Callithrix jacchus: one gene and its partners. The protein of the gene in region 2 binds, or shares a complex with, the protein of the main gene of each other region. Links are inferred from orthologs where the notes say so. Each region holds a gene or a part of one and is shown on either strand. Other genes may lie near its edges. The genes, in order: CCDC8, CUL7 and OBSL1.

Region 1 (3,733 bases), on a different chromosome or scaffold from region 2:
TTTCCCCCCTGCCCTCCCTCTCTCCTGTTTCAAACTGAGCACCTTGAGTTGCATCTGAGAAAGCTAAAACTATGGGTGATGCCACCCTATCCTATCGATTTCTTTCCTTACATTCTTTGGGTTGCTACAAGGAATCAGTCTTTTTTTAAAAAATCAGGTGGTGCACATGGTGGCTCACATCTGTAATCCCAGTGCTTTGGGAGGCCGAGGCAGGAGGATCACTTGAGGCCAGAAGTTTGAGGCTGCAGTGAGTTACGATCATGCCACTGCACTCCAGCCTGGGCAACAGAGTGAGACCCTGTCTCTAAAAAATAACAACAAAAAAAATCAAAGCATGAGACTAGATTTTAACAAGAGAATAAAGAGGGTGCTTAGGTGGAGATGTGGGCAGCATCCACCTCCGTTTTCAAGTTCAGAGGCAGAAAGATCAACCTCTCTCCCCCACACGGAGGGAGGGCCTGTGCGCTGTCCCTAGCTCCCACTTCACAGCTGGTCTTCTTGCTCTCCCTGCTCAGCTTCTGCTCTGCCCTCAGCCCTCAGCACTCTGAGGTTCCTGGCCTCACCGGCCCTGGGGACTCTCTTGGGCAGGGTTGGCAACCGGGGAGTGTGCCAGAAGGCTCTCCGGTGCTTGCGAAACCACGAAAAGCGTCCAGGGGTCTGGAACCTCACTGTCTTGACCTGTTTCCGGGCCCTGGCTCCTGAAGCTGTCCCTGTGGTCCCTTGGGCAGCTGAAGCTTCAGCTTCCTGGATGCCTGGGGCACCTGCCCTCTGATTATGTGCAGCCTGGGCCCTCCGATTATCTGCACCCTGGACAGCTGGGGACCTTTCCCTCTGGTCATGTACGGCCTCTTCCCTTTGATTATCTGCAGCCTCTAACCCCTGGTCAGCTGGGGCCTCTGCCCTCTGATTATCTGCAGCCTCTGACCCCTGGTCAGCTGGGGCCTCTGCCCTCTGATTATCTGCAGCCTCTGACCCCTGGTCAGCTGGGGCCTCTGCCCTCTGATTATCTGCAGCCTCTTCCCTCTGGTTATCTTCACCCTCTGGCCCCTGGTCAGCTGCGGCCTCTTCCCTCTGATTATCAGCAACCTCTTCTCTCTGGTTATCTGCAGCCTCTGGCCCCTGGTCAGCTGGGGCCTCTTCCCTCCGGTCAGCTATGGCCCCTTCCCTCTGATTATCTGCAGCCTCTCCCCCATGATTAGCCTGGAAGTCTGCCCCCTGACCTGTGGATGCTGTCTGCTCCTTTCTGTGGAGTCGAAAGGAGGCCCAGTTGATCTTGGGCCTCCATCGCCTGGGGGAGGTCTGGGGCGCACAGGCATCTCCCGCGTTTCCCACGCGATCCCTGGGGCTGGTGCCCTCTGGCGCGGATGATACTCCTGCGCTCCCTGATGCGGTGGAGGACAGCCGGGCCTCACCCACCCCGGGTCCCGCCCTCGGCGCCCAACCCTTCACCCTCCGCTTCAGCTTCCCCCAGGACACCTGGCCGACATACTCCCGCCACCTGTCCGCCTTGGACAGCCGAGGCCCCAGGTTGTCCTCAAACATCGGCACTGGCCGGTTGACGCGACGGCGGGCAGGCGGCGCACTGGGCTGCTTCTCCTCTCGCCGGAGGAAGGCCTCGACCAGTTCCTCATCATCCTCGCTCTCCAGATCGCTGCCCAGGAACTTGCTGCCCAGGTAGCTGACCGGCATCCTGCGCACCGCCTTGCCCCGCCGCGGGCCTTGGCGGCTCTGGTCTCTGGAGGTCTCGAAGTCGCTCAACTCACTGTCGCTGGCATTGCTGCTGTCGTAGGTGCCCACGACCAACCGGGGCGGAGGAGTCACCATCTGCTGCACTCTTCTCCTCACTCGGGGCTCCCTGGGCTTTCTGGGGGGCTGGGGCGGGTGCGGGGTGCTCTTCTCGATGATTCGGGCCACGTCCTCCAGGGTGCGGCCTTCTTCTTCCAGGAACTGGATCAGCCGCTCCCGAAATTCTGCTTCCTTGGTGGCGGGCTTGGAGATGACTCTCCAGACGCCCCCGGCCAGCCTGACCTCCCGGGGGATGAGCAAATAATCGACGTCCTCCCCAATCTGCAGCATCCCCACCGTGGAGTCCTCCTCCTTGCGGAACACCTTCCCGATCTTCTTAAAAGTCCCCACGGGCTTCAGGGCTTCCACGAGGACGTCCAAATCCACATCTTTGCAGACATCGGGGACGCTCCAAAGAATTAGGCAGTCGGGGGACGGGAGGAAGCCCCAGGGGAACCAGCCCCCCACGTGGCTTTTCTCGAGAGTCTTTAAGATCTCCAGAGTGGTATCTGAGGTGAGGGGGCAATGAGCCCCAACAAGCTACAGTCTTGAGGGAGGGACTGGAGGCCGGGGGAGTGCCAGCAACGCTGATCGGAGAGTCTCCTCCCCAGGCCAGGGACGAGCCCACGCCTCCTATCTCTTCGCCTGTACCAAGTCCAGTGTTGACCAAGTCCTGCTCCCTTGCCACGGACTTGGAGGAATCAATTTCCAGGATGCTTACGTGGGCGGGGGCGAGGTCAGTCCCGAGGCTCAAGGCCCACTCCAAGCTGGAAACGTGGTGGTCCAGCTCCAAGTTGGGGCGCGCGAGCTGCCAGCGATTCTTCCTGCCCCAGGCACCGGGGACGCGGCTGGAACTTGGAAGAGGAATTCGCAGACAAAGACGGTCCAGCCCAGGCTATTCAATATGGCCGAGGGGCTGGGAGGCCTCAGCCGGGCCCCGCAGTTGGGTACCCCGCCCCCAGGCAGGCCGCCACCCAGCTCCAGGCTGACCTTGACACGCTGCAGCCTGCCAGGCCGCGCGCTTAGGGCTCTGCACCTTGGAGCGCAGGGGCAGGAAGTTCCTCCTCGCCTTCCCCTAGAACGAGGCCCACCTTCCCCGTCTCATCTTACACTCCCGGACTCGGGAAGACTGACAGGGGGGCTGTCCACTCCCTTCGGGGCGGCCTCCCTCCCCTCCCCCACAGGGGTGTGGCCGCGTCCCGGGCCTAACTGGGCCCATTGCTTCCCAGCGAAGCGGCTGTAGCCCACGTCAGCACCTTTCCTGAAAGGCAGCGGTTTCCAGACCTGCCCTCCGAAATGGACAAGTCCCAGCCAAACCCCGGAGGTGGCTGTGCTAGTGGATTCGACCTTTTGAGGGCCACTGGCACTATAGATGAGCATGTTAAATTCACGCGACCATCGGTACCCGTACACCCACACACGTGGGTAGAGAAATGGGTACCAGGTTCTTATTGCAACAGTCCCACTGTGGCGCGTGGCACAAGGTCGGGGCTCAATGCATAGTTTTGAGTGGATGAATAACCTAAACGTTCATGGCCCGGGGCGGTGGCTCACACCTGTAATCTCAGCACTTTGGGAGGCCGAGGCGGGTGGAACAAACACTTGAGGCCAGCAGTTCGAGAGAAGCCTGGCCAACGTGGTGAATCCCTCCTCTGTACAAAAAAAAAAAAAAAAAAAAAAAAAATACAAACATTTGCCGGGCTCGGCCGGGGGCAGTGGCTCAGGCCTGTAATCCCAGCACTTTGGGAGGCTGAGGTGGGCAGATCACGGGGTCAGGAGACAGACCATCCTGGCTAACACGGTGAAACCCTGTCTCTACTAAAAATACAAAAAAATTAGCCAGGCATGGTGGTCGGTGCCTGTAATCCCAGCTACTCAGCAGGCTGAGACAAGAGAATCACTTGAACCCGGGAGGCGGAGGTTGCAGTGAGCCAAGATCAGCCACTGC
Region 2 (3,743 bases):
GAGAGCGTGGCCTGTGCAAACAGTGCTAGCAGAGCACAGCGGCTATCAAAATCCAGGTGTTTCTCAATGGCTTCTTGTTGGCTCAGTGACAGAAGGATCTGAGTCCGGGTCCCTGTAACCCACACCCCAATCGGTAACTTCTCCCCAACCTCACCCTTCCTAAAATCTTGGACCGTCTACTCTTTCAATCCAATCCTTTTGCCACCACACAGTGGGAAATCATTGATTTGCTTCAAAAGTTAAAATTTGCTAACTTATATACACACACACAATCTGCAATAGTCTAAATTCTTCCTTTGCATAAAAAGTAACTAATTAACATGAGATTTTTGAAGATAGGGTTTCCTCTTTTGGCAGATACCCCCCGCCCTCACCCCCATTCCCACCTCCTTTTCTTCCAACTCTAAGAGAAGGGCAACAGAATCATTTACGTACTGATGAGATTAGAGGCTCCTGCCACAGTGTCCTGTGAGTCCCTGAGCCGACCCAGCCCTTCTGCTTTCCCTTCCTCCCCACACTGCCCCTCACCAGCATCATGGGAGGACAGGGCTTGTATCATCCGGCCTGCGCTCCAGCGAATCTGATAATCGGGACTACTCAACATGTGCATGAGCAAGTCCAGGACCCTTGGGTCCTTGAACACCCCAGTGAGGGGCTCGATGCTGGCATAGGCGCTGAGCACGTGGACAGTGTGAAGTAGAGGAGCAGGAGGGATGGTGCCCACACACTCCTCCAGCTGCCGAAGGGCTCTCTGAATGAGGGACTTCACATCAGTTTCCATCTCCTCCAGTACAGATTTGTCCAGGGCCCCAACCTCCCCTGCAGACTGGGAGGGCCTGATGACCTGGCCATCCTCGCCCAGCATCTTGTGGCAGTTGGCATATATCTCATCCTTAGACATCCACAGCAGGATATGTTCAGCCTTGCAGTCCACTTGGCCAGCGACCCCGTCCCCATCATCGCCACGCCGCAGGATGAGCCAGCGGATCTGGTACTCAGGATGCCCATCATGGCCCACTCGCTGGCGGATCAGCTCATCAGGATAGGCATGTAAGCCAGGCCCCAGGGGCACCCTGAATTCCCTGTAGCGGAGTTCCCCCACCATCCTGGCACCTGGAGCACACAAGGAAGAGAGAACAGACAAGCTAGAGTAAGGAGAGGTCAGAAAAATCAGACATCCAGGAGTTAGGGAAGCAAATGGCAACAGCTGTCGGGCAGGGTGGGGTAAAGCCAGGCCCAGGAGTTGCATGCTGCACGCTGGATGGGGGCAGGCCTAAGCAGAGAACACGGGGGTTGTGTTGTGAAAGAACACAAAATTTGGGGGCTAAAAGGAAGGTCCCCAAAACCCTGCAGCCTGGAGTGGGTGGGTTTGGAATAGTGGGCAGACAGTGGGGGCAGGGCAGCCTTGGAGTTTACAAGTGAATTCCAAGACTTTGGGACAGGCAGCAACCCTGGGGGCATGTGAAGCCCAGAGGGGTAGATTTATGGGGGGCTGGGAAGGAGATCGCGAGTGTGTGTGTGGAAAAGGGTGCTGTCTCTACGATTGGAACATGGGAGTGTGAGTCGCAGAGTTAAGAGACCCGAGAAATGGTGGTTGAGGGCAAGGCGCGATGGGCTGGAGGCACCTCTGACTGGAGCAACCGGAGCAAGAGGGCTGGTGGGGGCGCTGTGAGACCCAGGGCAGGGTGCACAGGAGAACAGGCAGGGGAGGGGCGCGAGGCTTGGGGGACCGAGGTTGGAGACCCGAGAAGCCTGGAACGCGCGCTATAAGGTGGGGGAGAGGGGCTAACTCCCATAAACTAGAACCCCGAGACACGGTGGGATGCGGGGCCGAGGTCAAGTGAGCGCGAGGATCCACGGGCAAGTGGTCAGGGGAGGAGCAAGGGGCCGCAGCGGGGCTCTGGCCACCTCAGAAGTCCACCGGGGTCCTGACGCGAGGCCTGTCCTTCACAGAGCAAGGGACGCGGCACAGACGCTGACGACGAATTGGGTCCCACCTGGGCCCCGCGAGGGGATCCAGACGGAGAGATCTGAGGGGGTGTGCCTCTGCGGAACAGAACAGCAGCGCCCGCGTGGGTCGGCAGCCACTGGGGCAGGGTGGGGCCTGGTCCCTGCCAGTGACTCCGCCTGCCAAAAGCCACGGCTCATTTCCGCCAGACCCAGCGGAAAGCTAGGGGCCCTGGGAGAGCGCTGGGGCGGAGCTGCGGGTGCCACCTTGGCGACGCAGCACCTCCTTCCCTGCGCCGCCCTTTCCTCTTCCTTTTTGTCCTCCCTCCTGCCGGAAGTGCCCTCCCCGTTTCCCAAAGTCAGAACTGGAAAAGGCCTTGGACGTCACTAATTTCCATCCTCGGGCTCCATTACCTGTAAGGGAACTGGGGTGGGGGCAGACCCACAGTGTCCTGTCTTTATCTTCCGACACTTTTTACTGCTTCTCCCCACATTCTGTCTGTACCATCCCCTCCCCCGCAAAAAACAGTAACAGATAAAAACAGGAGGTGGGGCATTTTATTAGAGTACAGGGATATCAGCTTTGGGCAGCAGCAGAAGGCAGCTTCACATAACTCTTCATGGGGGGTAGTGGCCGAATCTTTCGGCCAGCCCAGCCCCCCTTGCGGTGCCATCGCCCACTGTTAGGCCTCTTGCCCAGCCAACGGTTGCGCCCTGCCTTGCCAATAACCCGTTTGTTATGATCAACGTTGGATACTCGACCTACTGTTGCTATGCACGTTTCCAGCACCTGACAGAGAAAACAGATGGAGAAGAATGTACGATGTGGGGGCAAGATTTGACAATGTTTAGAGCACAACCCTTGGGGGGCGTCTTAGACTCAATGAGAGAAGGGAGAGGAGAAAGAAAAAGCACAAGACGGGTGAAGCTAAGTGAAGGTCCTACAGGAGGAACAAGGTAGTTGAAATCGAAGAGCCGGGTGCACTGACTCACGCCAGTAATCCCAGCACTTTGGAAGGCCGAGGCTGGAGGGTAACTTGAGCCCAGTTTGAGACCAGCCCAGGCACTATAGTGAAACCCCATCTCTACAAAATAAAAACTATTAGCCGGGGCCAGGTGCAGTGGCTCACACCTGTAATCCCAGCACTTTGGGAGGCCTAGGAGGGCAGATCGCTTGAGCCAGGAGTTCAAGACCAGCCTGGCCAACATGGTAAAACCCTATCTCTATAAAAAATATGAAAATTAGCTGGATGTAGTGGCATGTGCCTGTAGTCCCAGCTACTTGGGGGGCTGAGGCAGAAGGACTGCTTGAACCCAGGAGTTTGAGGCTGCAGTGAGCTATGATTGTGCCATCGCACTCAAGCAATAGAAACCCGGTCTCAAAAAAATTAATTAGGGTTGGGCATGGTGGCTCAGCCCTGTAATCCTAGCACTTTGGGAGGCTGAGGTGAGCAGATTAAGGTCAGGAGTTTGAGACCAGCCTGGCCAACACGATGAAACCCCATCTCTACTAAAAATACAAAAATTGGCCAGGCGCGGTGGCTCATGCCTATAATCCCAGCACTTTGAGAGGCCGAGGTGGGTGGATCACCTGAGGTTGGCAATTTGAGACCAGCCTGACCAACATGGTAAAACCTTGTCTCTACTAAATATACAAAATTAGCCAGGTGTGGTGGCCCATGCCTATAATCCCAGCTACTCAGGAGGCTGAGGCAGGAGAATCACTTGAACCTGGGAGGTGGAGGTTTTGGTGAGCCGAGATCATGCTATTGCACTCCAGCCTGGGCAACAAGGGT
Region 3 (3,742 bases), on a different chromosome or scaffold from region 2:
GTTCTCATCCGGGCCTGACACTTACTAGCCGCATCACCTTGAGAGTCCATTTCAATGTTTCTGAGCCTCAGTCTCCTTACTTGGAAAATGGGAACAGAGAGGGAAAGGGTTGGACCACATTGGTGATTTCCAAACTGTTCCTGCCCCCACTCCCCCAGGTATTTCATATATTCCACAAAGGCCTGAGTAGAATTTAAAATATTTTAACTCTTTTCAAAAGTGTATTTCGGTCAGGCAAGGTGGCTCCTGCCTGTAATCTCAGCAATTTGGGAGGCCAAAGTGGGTGGATCACCTGAGGTCGGGAGTTCGAGACAAGCCTGAGCAACAAGGAGAAATCCCATCTCTACTAAAACACAAAATTAGCAGAGTACTGTGGCGCATGCCTCTAATCCCAGCTACTTGGGAGGCTGAGGAAGGAGAATGGCTTGAACCTGGGAGGCAGAGGTTGCGGTAAGCCAAGATTGCACCATTACACTCCAGCCTGGGCAGCAAGAGCAAAACTCTGTCTCAAAAAAAAAAAAGTGTATTTCAAAAAAAAGAAAACAGGATGTTAGAAACCAGGTTAACTTAGATTGCTGGAAAAGCAAGTTTTTTTTGTGTGTGCAACTCTGGGAAGCACCTCTAGCCCTCCCTCAGGGCTTTTCCTCCCTGATGGAGGTCCAGATCCACATCAGCCTGGCGAATCTGTGCACATCGAACTGTACCAGTGAGGCCACCACCACAGCCTGGGGGGGCCACATGCTTGACTGCATGCCAGGCAGGACTCAGGATAATTTACCAACTTTGTTTTTCCTCCTAGAGAAAAATCTGGACAACTAGTGAAGGCGTAATCCTTTGCACTGTGATGAAATACTGTTATGGAGACTGTTACCTTCCAGTGAGTTTGGGGTGTGTTTTTTTCCCTTTGAATTTTCTGTTTATGAGAATGTAAGCATTTATTGGATATTGTTCCTTCACCTTCCTCTTCTTTCAAAAGTGGGGAGCAGTTTAATCAAAGAACAGTAAAAACATTCAGGAAATTTGTCCACCCTCAAGTCTACCTTTCCACTGAAACGGTGGTTTCTCAAGGTGACAGATGCAGCCAGGCCGTCCCCTCTCCACGGGGTTCAGAGCCTGAACCACGAATGCAGCCTTCACTTCAAATGCCTATATTCAATAAAACGGCCTCCTGATTCTCACTGATGCTTTAGAAGCCTGTTACACACGTAGACTTAGCAATTTACACCCATAAAACACTCCTTTATCTGTTTCATCTATTGGGGCTCCGGTTGTGAATTCAGTTGGGGAAGGAGGAGTAAAATAACAAAGACGATGAAAACCACTAGGGGAGAAGAGTTCTAGGCCCTTCTAGGTTTGTACATCAATCACTTCTTAGTGGTGTTCCACCATCTGCCTCAGAATCACTTGGGGAGTTTTCTAAGAAGTTGCTGAGCACCCTGGAGACCTACTAAATCCGAATCCCTGGGGAGTGGGAGGCAGGCGGGTTGGGTCTTTTAATATTCCCGCCGACCTCCCCTCCCCCAGTCTTCAGGGCAGCGCCGGGCACCGAGAGGGGCCGGGGTTCGGCGGGCCTCCGAGGACACTCAAGGCCGCTCCCCGGGCCCCGGGCGCTGCCGTACCTTTCACGTGCAGCTGCACTGCGCTGAGCGTCTGGCCCGCGGAGTTGCGCGCGGCGCAGACGTAGAGCCCGCGGTCCTTGGCCTGGCAGTAGAGCACCTTGAGCACGAAGCCGCCGTCGCGGTCGCGGTACATTAGGCGGCGGCGGTCCGGGAGCAGCGGGAGGCCCTCCCAGTGCCATTCGATCTCGGGCTCGGGCTTGCCCATCACGTAGCAGCGGAACTTGGCGTGCTTGCCCTCGTTCACCCAGAAGGTCTTGGGCGCGCACTTGAGCGGCTCCACCACGGGCGCGGGGGCCTCATCGGGGTCCGCGGGCGGGCTCTCAGGGGGCTGCTGCACCTGGAGCAGCGCGCCAGCCTGCGCGTGGCCGTGCGCGTTGCGGGCGTGGCACACGTAGACACCGGAGTCCGGCAGCCGCGCGGCCAGGATGCGCAGCGCCAGGCTCGCGCCCGGGCCGTCCTCGGCCCGGCCAGGCTCCAGAGCGAAGTGGCTGCTGTCCCACACTTCGTCCAGCGCCATCCCGTCCTTCTCCCAGTACAGCGTGGGCTCGGGGAGGCCCCCGGCCTGGCACGTCAACACCACCTCCGCCCCCCGCAGCACCCACTGGGACCGCGGCCCCGCCAGGAAGACCGGGGCGCCCTCCCCGGACCCCGGCGGCGGCAGCGGGAGCTCGGCGGGCTGCGGCTCGGGCTCGGAGGCCGGCGGCTCCAGCACGGTGATGGCGGCCGCCGCGTAGGCCTCTCCGGCCACATTGCGGGCGCGGCACACGTAGACCCCCGCGTCGGTGGGCAGCGCGCCGTTCAGCAGCAGGCCGTGCTCCGCGCCGTCCGCCAGGAAGCTCAGGCGTTCCGAGGCCGCCAGCTGCTGCCCGCCCTTCTCCCACACCACGACGGGCGGCGGCTCCCCCAGGACCACGCACTTGAGCTCGGCCTCGGCGCCACTTACCACCCGCACGGGCCGCGGGAAGCGCAGGAAGCACGGGGGGCTCCCCTGGTCCCCCGAGCTTGCCTTCATCGCGGCGGCCACAGACCGCCCGCAGTGGCGAACCAGGGAGGGTGGGCGGAGGGCGAGCCGAGGCCGGAGGCGGCGGCGAGGGCTCCGGGACCGGGGCGCGGGGATCCGCGGAGTTCTCCCAGGCTGCCCGCTCCCTGCTCGCCTCCCTGTCCTCGGTCTGGAGCTGCAACTCTGCGGCGGCGGCGATTCCCTGACCCAGAGCCCGGCACTTAGGGGGCAGTCCTTCCTGTTTGGCTCTCCAGCGAGGGGCCCCGCAGCCTCCTCTGCCTGCGGCCTGGCTTCCTGCTCTGGGGAGGCTCTCTTCCCAGCCCCCTCCCACAGCTTGGGCCTCTTTCCCCTCCTCCCTCCCACCTCCAGTCACCAGGTCCCCAGCCGCCTGCCCGCCAGGCTTGGGCCTGAGTGGCAGAGGCGCCTGCAGCTGCCAATCCCAAAAATATTCTCTGATGACACAGCTGGAGGACAAGAGCCCAGACTGGCTCCTCTGGGCTAAGTATAGAGCAGGCGGGACCACCTGGCCCCCGCCCTAGCTCCGGTTCTAGCCCTGGCCCCAGCCCTTCCCCCAGTGGCTGGCCTGCCCAGCAGCTGCTCATTGAAAGGGGCCCCAGAAGGTCTGAGGGGTGGTGCACTCTGTCTCCTGGACAAATGACACTTTCTGGGGCTGGCCGGCTACAGCTCCCAGGCTTGATGTCACTTCTGGATGTGAGACTGTGTGTGTGTGTGTGTGTGTGTGTGTGTGTGAATAGGGAGTTGATGTCCCCTCTGGATGTGTGTGTGTGTGTTTGTGTGTATGTGTGCAGGGAGAAGGGGTTGTATGTTTGCATGAGGGTCGGGTCGCTTGGGGCGAAACCCTCTCCAGCCCCTCCCCCACATTCCTGGCGGGAGTGGGAGATAAGGCTCATGGCCACAGGCATCTACGTCAGAGATAGGAGGTCTCAATGCCACGGGCAGGGGCAACTCGGACTGTGGGGCGTGGGAAGGACTGGGGAAGACTGGGTGAGAAGCATACAAGAGGGTGGGTGTGGGATGAGGAGGGGAAAGCAGGGAGGCCCTGGGCACACCCTGGCAGAAGGGGCACAGGGCAGGGAGTGGGTTCCCCGCTAGTAGGGCCAGG

Evidence for each region.
Region 1: CUL7 (region 2) and CCDC8 share a complex: the UniProt entries of both Homo sapiens proteins name them as parts of the 3M complex. The link is inferred for Callithrix jacchus from reciprocal best matches to the Homo sapiens genes CUL7 and CCDC8.
Region 3: CUL7 (region 2) and OBSL1 share a complex: the UniProt entries of both Homo sapiens proteins name them as parts of the 3M complex. The link is inferred for Callithrix jacchus from reciprocal best matches to the Homo sapiens genes CUL7 and OBSL1.

The regions. Positions count from the first base shown.
Region 1 is NC_133523.1:40,427,037-40,430,769, forward strand, and holds the start of CCDC8 (coiled-coil domain-containing protein 8), read right to left. Parts: upstream 2,820-3,733; 5' UTR 2,077-2,819; coding exon 484-2,076; 3' UTR 1-483. UniProt on the Homo sapiens protein: Core component of the 3M complex, a complex required to regulate microtubule dynamics and genome integrity. It is unclear how the 3M complex regulates microtubules, it could act by controlling the level of a microtubule stabilizer.
Region 2 is NC_133505.1:51,531,352-51,535,094, forward strand, and holds the start of CUL7 (cullin-7), read right to left. Parts: upstream 2,153-3,743; 5' UTR 2,149-2,152; coding exon 1,998-2,148; exon of another isoform or gene 1,909-1,997; intron 1,114-1,908; coding exon 436-1,113; intron 113-435; coding exon 1-112. Other genes in the region: MRPL2 (large ribosomal subunit protein uL2m), read right to left, coding at 2,525-2,737. UniProt on the Homo sapiens protein: Core component of the 3M and Cul7-RING(FBXW8) complexes, which mediate the ubiquitination and subsequent proteasomal degradation of target proteins. Core component of the 3M complex, a complex required to regulate microtubule dynamics and genome integrity.
Region 3 is NC_133507.1:141,311,949-141,315,690, forward strand, and holds the start of OBSL1 (obscurin-like protein 1), read right to left. Parts: upstream 2,804-3,742; 5' UTR 2,632-2,803; coding exon 1,620-2,631; intron 1-1,619. UniProt on the Homo sapiens protein: Core component of the 3M complex, a complex required to regulate microtubule dynamics and genome integrity. It is unclear how the 3M complex regulates microtubules, it could act by controlling the level of a microtubule stabilizer.